2 linked regions of the Macaca fascicularis genome follow. The protein of the gene in region 2 purifies or fractionates together with the protein of the main gene of each other region. This does not show direct contact. Links are inferred from orthologs where the notes say so. Each region holds a gene or a part of one and is shown on either strand. Other genes may lie near its edges.

Region 1 (3,813 bases), on a different chromosome or scaffold from region 2:
TCAGCGGGGCCTCTGTCTTTTGTGGTGACCCCTCAGGGGTTTCATTGTTTTCTTCTGAGTGAAGCAAAAGATAATTTGCTTTGGCACTCTTTGGAGGAATTGTGCTTTGGCTCATAACTTGGCCATGTTCTCCATGAATTAGTTCTCCTATTTTTTTTTTTTAACTACCTTAAACTTAAGGGACAATTTCTCCTATCTTGATTTCACTGGAATATAGGCTTTAGGAGCTCTGTAAGGCTGGTATTTTTGTCTGTTTTATCTTCTGTATTGCCAGTGCCTGGAACAGTATCTGGTGCACATAATAGGTGCTCAATAAAAATGTGTTCAGTGGATGAATTTCTAAAATATCCTCTGATGTGTTGTGTACATGGAACAAATCACCAAAAGAACCAGACTGTGTCTTATTTTCCCATCGACACAAAGATTTTCCTGCTCTCAGGAAACAAGCTTTATGTGGCCCTTCTCTGGTCCCCTGGCTTAGACTACAGTTCTGTGTGGATTTGTCTGGTTGCTTCAAACATGTATTGGTTTTCATCCTTGGCAGCTTACATCAGTTGTTTGATTAGAAAAATGAAGCAGACACACACACATACACACACAAACATATTACCTGTGCCGTACAAATGTCTCAGCAGCAATGGAGTTCACCTTGGTGTTTCTCTGCAATTTGTGTGGGGTTTACTCCTCACAGGTTTAAGAGACCAGGTCTTGTTTCTTTCTCTGTGCTGCCAAGAAGATGTGAACCTGAGGATGCATCTTGTTGCATAAGAAGGAAAACAGGTGAATATGTGGTTTCTAATGAGGTCTTGTTGAAATAACGGGCTGCCCTCAGCTCACAGAAATACCACAGCTCGGCCACTGTGATGCAGAGCCCCAGGGGTCTTCGTCCGACAGCTTGTCCTGACTCAACAGTCGGCAGCCTGACCTTTGAGCTGGCTTGCCCAAGCGTTCAGGTTGTTTGCGTAGACCTCTAGGGAAGCAAGCCTGTCCTTCCTGGCCCGGCGGTTAACCTGGTGCACTTTTGTTCCTTTGTTAACCGTTGTGTTGTCACTAAACTGAAAGGCTGGGGCTTGCCCTTAGACGTCACATTGGCTCTGTCCCTGTGGCGACGGCAGGGCAGGGTGGCCAAACAGGTCAGGTGCTTGTCCTGTCCTCTTGCCTTTTACTTAAATTCCTCTGACTTAAAAATGGTGACACTCTTATCGTAAAGCTTCCTATTTTTCTCCACTGCTTGGATATGAAACTAGGGGGAGAGGCCCTGTTGCCCAGTGTTCTCCTGGTTTACCAGCTGAGGTGACTGCAGTCTGATGTGATGTAATTGTTTCCCTTTGATTCTCCAGTATTCCTGTTTCCATCCAGTTCCTTACTCCCCTCTTTCCTCTTCCCTCGCACGTCTCCCTCCAGTCCTCTGTACCTAGAATAGTCTCACTGTCCCCTGTTTGCCTCCACGAGCCTGCTGTTTCCAGGAAATTACATAACGTTCAGTTGGGATGGAAATCTTCTGGAGGACGAATAGAGTTTAATTCCTCATTGCGTCGAAAAGCCAAGTCATTTCTGTCTCCAGAGGTGTTCTCTTAAACTGATAGGAGTTCTGAAAGGAGCCAGGTCTTCCCTGTGGTTGGGGCTCTGGAGGCCATCAGTGACCAAGATGTAGGGAACAGCCAGGTGGACACCAAAAGGCCCTATGGGGCAGCGCTTTCCAGGGCCCCGAGGGAAAGGCACCTCAGCACGACCCTGGACTGCCCCAGCCTTCTCTGCCCAGTGCCCCATGGGCAGAGACTGTCGGCTGCTGCTGGACTTCCCAGCTCTGCTGGCACAACTGAGGGCATCCTGGCTGGGAAGCGCAGGTGGGCTTGGGAGGGATGTGCCCTGGTCAGGGACAGTTACAGCGCCACTGTCTGTGTCTCTAGTGGTGGCACAAAGGCTGAGGAAGCTAGATTTTCCTGTGAAGGACAGTGGAGAACCCAGTGTCCCTCGGGCTGACAAGAACCATTTCCCAAGACCCAGAGTGCCTGGAGAGGACACGGGGAAGGTAAGTGCCCCGGAAGCCTGGGGCCAAGTCCTGCCCTCAGGGCTGCGGGCAGCCAGGGTGGCCTGGTCTGCGGGGAGCTGCCGCAGGGTAGGCTGAGAAGCAGCTCCTCTCACTTTGTCCCCAGGGGAAGAGTCCAATATTAAGGGCCGGGAGTAGATTTTTAAAGCCTGTTGCCAGCTTACTTCGTTCTGGGAGTGCTTTCTGAGGGACGGGTTGCCGGCCAGAGCTGTCACTATTGTAGCTTGAGGCCCATCTCCCATCACCTCCCCGTCCAACAGCGAAGCCCATATAGAGGACACTGGTGGGATTTGGTGAAGAATTGCTTGTAAAAAGGGGCTGTTCCCATTTTCCTCACGTAATACAGAAGTGACTTGCCACAATTCCTCAGTTATTTCCATTCAAGATAAAAATAGTTGCAAGTTTCTCTGTAACAGCTCATGTTCTACAAGCCCCACTGGACGCCACTCTGTGTGGAAATGGTGTGAAAAGCCGCATTTCAGCAGTCGGTGCCAGCCACTGCCCCAGGGCCATTCATTAGGAGGGCGATTTGTGACTTACAGATATATTCAGAAAAGGAGAGCAGCAGGGCTTGGCTGCCTCGTGCTGATGCCAGACTGCGTTTAGTTCATGGGGAAAAATCTGACATTCTCACACCCACTCTAGTGGGTTCGCTTGGTGAAATTCTATGAAGTAACATCAAAAAGGCTGCCTTTTAAGTCACATGGCTTTTCATTTTATGTGAACCGAAACCATGAAAACGTTTTTTCCTGTTGTTGAGGTCCAGAATCGCCTTCGCTCATCTTAGAACGTTCTTGCCTTCCTGAGTGGCTGCACACTTGTCCGTGGGCAGCACCGGTCGTTCCTGCAGTGGCCACACAGTGGGAGGAAGGGCTGGGCGATGACTGTCCGGATGGATTCCCGAGTGGCCAGTCCTTGGAGTCCATGTTCTCTTCACAGAACTGGGCCGCAGGAAGGAGAACTTGGCTGAAGGAGTGGGGGGTGACAGTTACACATTTTTTAGGCCTAAACCACAGACTTCTTTGGGAAGAAAGGGGTTACATCTTCCTACAAATTCAGAGCCAACTGCTCATGCCATAAATGCGTGGTAAGACCCGATCTGAGCGTGGGTCATTGAGGTGGCCCTCCCATGGCTGACCTGCTCAGCTCTGACGGCCCGAGCTGTGCCTCTGCTAGCTGAGGAGTTATTGAGAATTAACTGTCGTTACTTGAGCCTTGGTCACTGCAGCCCCTTGTCAGGCACTTTAAATCTCATGTCATCCTCACCCACCCTAGGTGGTTAAGTGCTGTCATCATTTTTCAGTCCCTCATGAATCTCCCCCAACCTCTGTCATGTCTATTTGAGAATCTTTCTTTCCAGGAAAGGAGGCCCATTGGTGCTAGGCCTCTGAGGCTTCAGTTCATTTAACTCAGAAAAATCCCCCGCCCCATGACTCAGGGAGCCTTCCATGCATTTGTTTCACTTAAGGAAAATGACCCGAGGGGGAGATGGAAAGGGAATTGGCTGTTGCCAGGCAGAACCCTGTGTGTCAGGGGCCAGCAGCCAAGTGAGTGATCCAGGAAGTCATCCAATTGCAACCAGAAATTGTTCTTAACCCCTCACTGTCTAGGGTGTGTAGTGGACTTGCCAGTCTGTCCGAACGGGGTGAGAGTGAGCGCCTTGCTATTGAGAGCCCCGGGAACCATCCGTTCTCAGCCACCCTCAGGGCTCTCAGGGAGCCATTGGACATTCCAGGGGCTGGGCCCATCACTTGAAGAGAGAA
Region 2 (3,813 bases):
CTCTCCTATGCGTCCTCTGGTGGCCACACTGAGACGCTGGACAGCAAAGTCTTCCTGGGTGGCTCAGCTGAGCCCCTCCCTTTGTCCTCTCCTTGCAGCTACATGCACAAAACTCCTCTCACTGCACCAGGACTATGCTTCTTGGTGCAAACCCCACAAGCCTCCACCGGCTCCAGGGACTGGCAGGGTGCACAGGTGGGTGCTGGGGAGCTGAGGATGTTCCATTTATTGGTCTGGGGCTGACTACATGGGCATGTCCAGTCTACAAACATTCATGGAGCTGGTCACTTATAGGGCAGACATATTATTTGGAGGTATGTATTATTCATTACACTTCATCTGAGGTTAAAACAAAAAGTAAAAGGTACCTCCCGCACCCATCTCTGTGTCGAGTGCGGCGGTCAGGGAGGCTTCTAGGGAAGCCCAATTCACACTGAAATGGAAAGGACAGAGAGGAGAAGGGTGCTGGCTGGAGGCCGCCTGCGGTCAGAGGTGAGAGCTCAGGTGTGAGGAATAGCATCACACATGAAAAAAGGACAAAGGTCTGCATCTCCCTAACACCCAGCTGGAAGAAAAACATAAGCTTTAAAATCAAAACAAAAAATTAATGAGAGTATTTTTTGTTATTCTTGTAATTAGAAACCAAAAGGGAGAGCCTTGAAAGCTTAGGGAAAAAAAATCTCTCAACTGAGTCTTGTCTGGCCAAATTCTGTAAAAAACGAACGTGGAGAAGTGTGTGTAGTGAGACTTCCCCCATTTTAACCCAGTTAGTGCTGACCACAGCCTTGGATTCTTTAGATCAAGAAGAGTCAGTTCAATGAAGTTCAGGCTTAAAAAACACACACCTGCCACAATCCTCTAACAAATCTCCCATTAATCAAAACACATGATGGCTGCAATACTTACAAAGATTCCTTCTTTTATTTTAAAAAATTTTAATTTACATATAAAATAATTTGTTTTCATTTTTAGAGATGGGGTCTGGCTATGTTGCCCAGGCTGGTCTTGAACTCCTGGGCTCAAGTGATCCTCCCATCTCAGTCTCCCAAAGTGCTGGGATTATAGGTATGAGCCACCGTGCCTGGCCAAGATTTCTTCTTTTAATTATATCCCTTTTCTGGCACTAAAATAATTTAAGAGCAAAAATTTAAAAATAGCAACATTTCTGACTCTTACCCAGTTAGGCTCAGATACATAAATAGCCCATTCTGAACTGTTAGAGAGGTACAATCTCAAATACTGACCTAAGTCATTGTACAGAATTACCTGTCTGTGGTCTCTTCCCCATGCACTGACTAATGAAATAACTATACTTCTCACAAGCCTTCAGTAGGGCCACCAATTATACCCATTTTATTTAGGCTAAACCTACAAAAGCAGCCTTGAATAAAACCAAGACTGGGCCTAGTAAAGGCCTACTGTTTTCCCAAAATGAGCATGTGAACTCATGGGTTGTGGCAGGGTCTGATCGGGAGGAACAGGGGTTTCTGAGGGTGGGGTATGCACAGGTACCTGGGTGGGAGGTGGTGTTGCCTGTAGAAGAGATGGACGAGACTGGAGGGGGTCAAGTGCCCACCCTCAGGGGTCCCATCACACTTCTACTTTAGGGTCAGCAGTTTCATGATAAAGGAACTGCACAACTCGTGTTACTGTCACTAAAAATGATTTACACTAATTCATGGATGCAAAGGCAGCGGCACTGCGTATCAGACACCACCACCATTTTGGATTGAAACATCTTGGCTCACATTATAAACTACATTTTCAGCACATGCCACAGCCTTTCTCACTTTGATGAGCTCATAGGAAACAGGGTGATAACCTCGATGTGAGAAGTCTGAGGACACTCCTCCTGGGAAATTGGGAAATGCACGACCCCAGGTGCACCCACCCCGCACGGCAAAGCTGGAGAAATGGCATCAGAACAGACCCAGCGTCACTCCCAGGGGCACGTGTGTTAGGGAAAGGCTTCTGCAGCTCAGCGTCCTTCTCTGTAGCACTTCAAAGGCTAATGTGGAATGGGCTCGCTCACTCGGCTTCACTTGATAAACAATAGCGTAACGGGCTGAAATCTCATTAAAAACCAGTCACCCAACCCAACCAACTCAACCAGCCACACCCACCCCCCCCGGCAACGAAACCACCCAACCAATTAACCAACCAGCCAACCCACCCACCCACCCACCAACCGTTTTCAGATCTAGTAATGGCACTCCCTTGGGACCAGGCAGGGTTTCCTTCCAGGGGACACACCTCTGCACAGGTGCTGGTTTCTCACCAAGACACACCCGGGCTGGAGTCCAGTTTGCTGGACACCCTTCACCATGTTCCATCTAATTTAAGACACACATCAGTCGTACGTAGCACCAGGCCAATTATAAGACATTGAGGTTTTAAGTTTTACCCGATTTCATAGATATTAAAATGTGAAAAAATCTAGGCCCTGGAATTGACGAAATATGGTCATTTCATACTGCATGATGCGGGGGGGGGGGGGGGGTGGGGATAGGGGGGCGCCAACAATGGAGCAAATAACTTAACAATTAAAAAAGTAATGATGCTCATGGACGGACAGGTGAAGAGTTCTGAACTGTCAGCATCTGCCTAAGTCAACCCCAAAGAAATGCCATGAGAACATTCTGAATGCATCTTGGTGGCCCACAGCCTATCTTTCGATCTGCAGCCTGTGCTGTTTCACCTGCGAAGTGTTCGGAATTCCATCTGAACTTCAACTTGCCAGGTGCTGTTCCGAACCTTCAGAGAGAAGGGTGGTCGGTACGTCCACCAAGATTTCTGCTGTAGAATTAGATGTGAGTTTTCCCCTTAGTATTGCAGTATTGTCTAAAGACCACATGTGACTTTTTGCCTTTGTGAAAATAGGAGAAAGACCTTGCTTTAAACACATGTGTCATGAGCGCAAATGCCTTTCATGACTCAGGAGGTGGACCTCACAGTATTCCACCCAGCAGGACTCTCCAAACAGCAGACGTAAACGTTTATTCTTAACTTCTGAACGGCATTGGATAAAGAAAAGGCAACGTATACCCGTAGTGCTGTGATTCTAAACGGATCTCGAAGTCTTCCATCTTCGTCTTTCAGGTTATAACCTTCTGCTCTTTTATCCCGTTCACTTATTTTCCATAATTTTATAGTTTTATCTGAAAATAAAAACCTCATTCTCCATATGAAAAGAAAAACTGTAACATGCATCACTACTGTTTGAGTATTATATTAGAAAGCGGTGTGGCCCTATGTTGGTTTATAAGCTATGGGGTCTTTGAACATGAATATTTCCAATTGGAGGTGTTTTGCACAATAAACAAAGATGTGGAGACGTGCAGAGTAACATCCTAGTAACTTGCACGTGTGGTTTTTGTTGCATACTTTGAATTTTCAACCTATCACTTGCTACCCTAGATAACTTACCCTCCCCACAAAATTTAAAGCAGGATTAACTTCTAAAATAAAAAGAAATCTACACACACAGAAAATTAAAAATAAAACACTAAATCAGCCACTTAGAAAACAATTCTTACCATTTGTAGAGAGTAGAAAATGAGCAGCATTCTGTTGTGGTAACCACCTAATTTTATTAATTTTTTCCTCAATTTCTAGACTTTTCAAATAGTCAAACTCTGGTTCATGACTTTGAAAAGTGCTGTAAACATTATATTCTCCCCTAGAATGAGGGCGGCTTTTGTTCTGCAAAGAAACATGAGAGCTGTTTTAATGAACAAAGCACAGTGCAGAGAAAATTTCTGTACTATAAATTTGAATATCAAATGACCATACGTATTTTTTAAAGCTAAAAAA

Evidence for each region.
Region 1: the proteins of PPP2R2D (region 2) and PPP2R1B purify together in Homo sapiens (affinity purification with mass spectrometry; 4 studies listed by BioGRID and IntAct, counting the BioPlex papers as one, with this or other methods). This does not show direct contact. The link is inferred for Macaca fascicularis from reciprocal best matches to the Homo sapiens genes PPP2R2D and PPP2R1B.

The regions. Positions count from the first base shown.
Region 1 is NC_088388.1:110,657,930-110,661,742, reverse strand, and holds part of PPP2R1B (serine/threonine-protein phosphatase 2A 65 kDa regulatory subunit A beta isoform), read left to right. Parts: exon of another isoform or gene 1-345; intron 346-1,910; coding exon 1,911-2,032; intron 2,033-3,813. UniProt on the Homo sapiens protein: The PR65 subunit of protein phosphatase 2A serves as a scaffolding molecule to coordinate the assembly of the catalytic subunit and a variable regulatory B subunit.
Region 2 is NC_088383.1:140,987,550-140,991,362, reverse strand, and holds part of PPP2R2D (serine/threonine-protein phosphatase 2A 55 kDa regulatory subunit B delta isoform), read right to left. Parts: intron 3,703-3,813; coding exon 3,537-3,702; intron 3,159-3,536; coding exon 3,046-3,158; intron 2,797-3,045; exon of another isoform or gene 2,699-2,796; intron 1-2,698. UniProt on the Homo sapiens protein: Substrate-recognition subunit of protein phosphatase 2A (PP2A) that plays a key role in cell cycle by controlling mitosis entry and exit. Involved in chromosome clustering during late mitosis by mediating dephosphorylation of MKI67.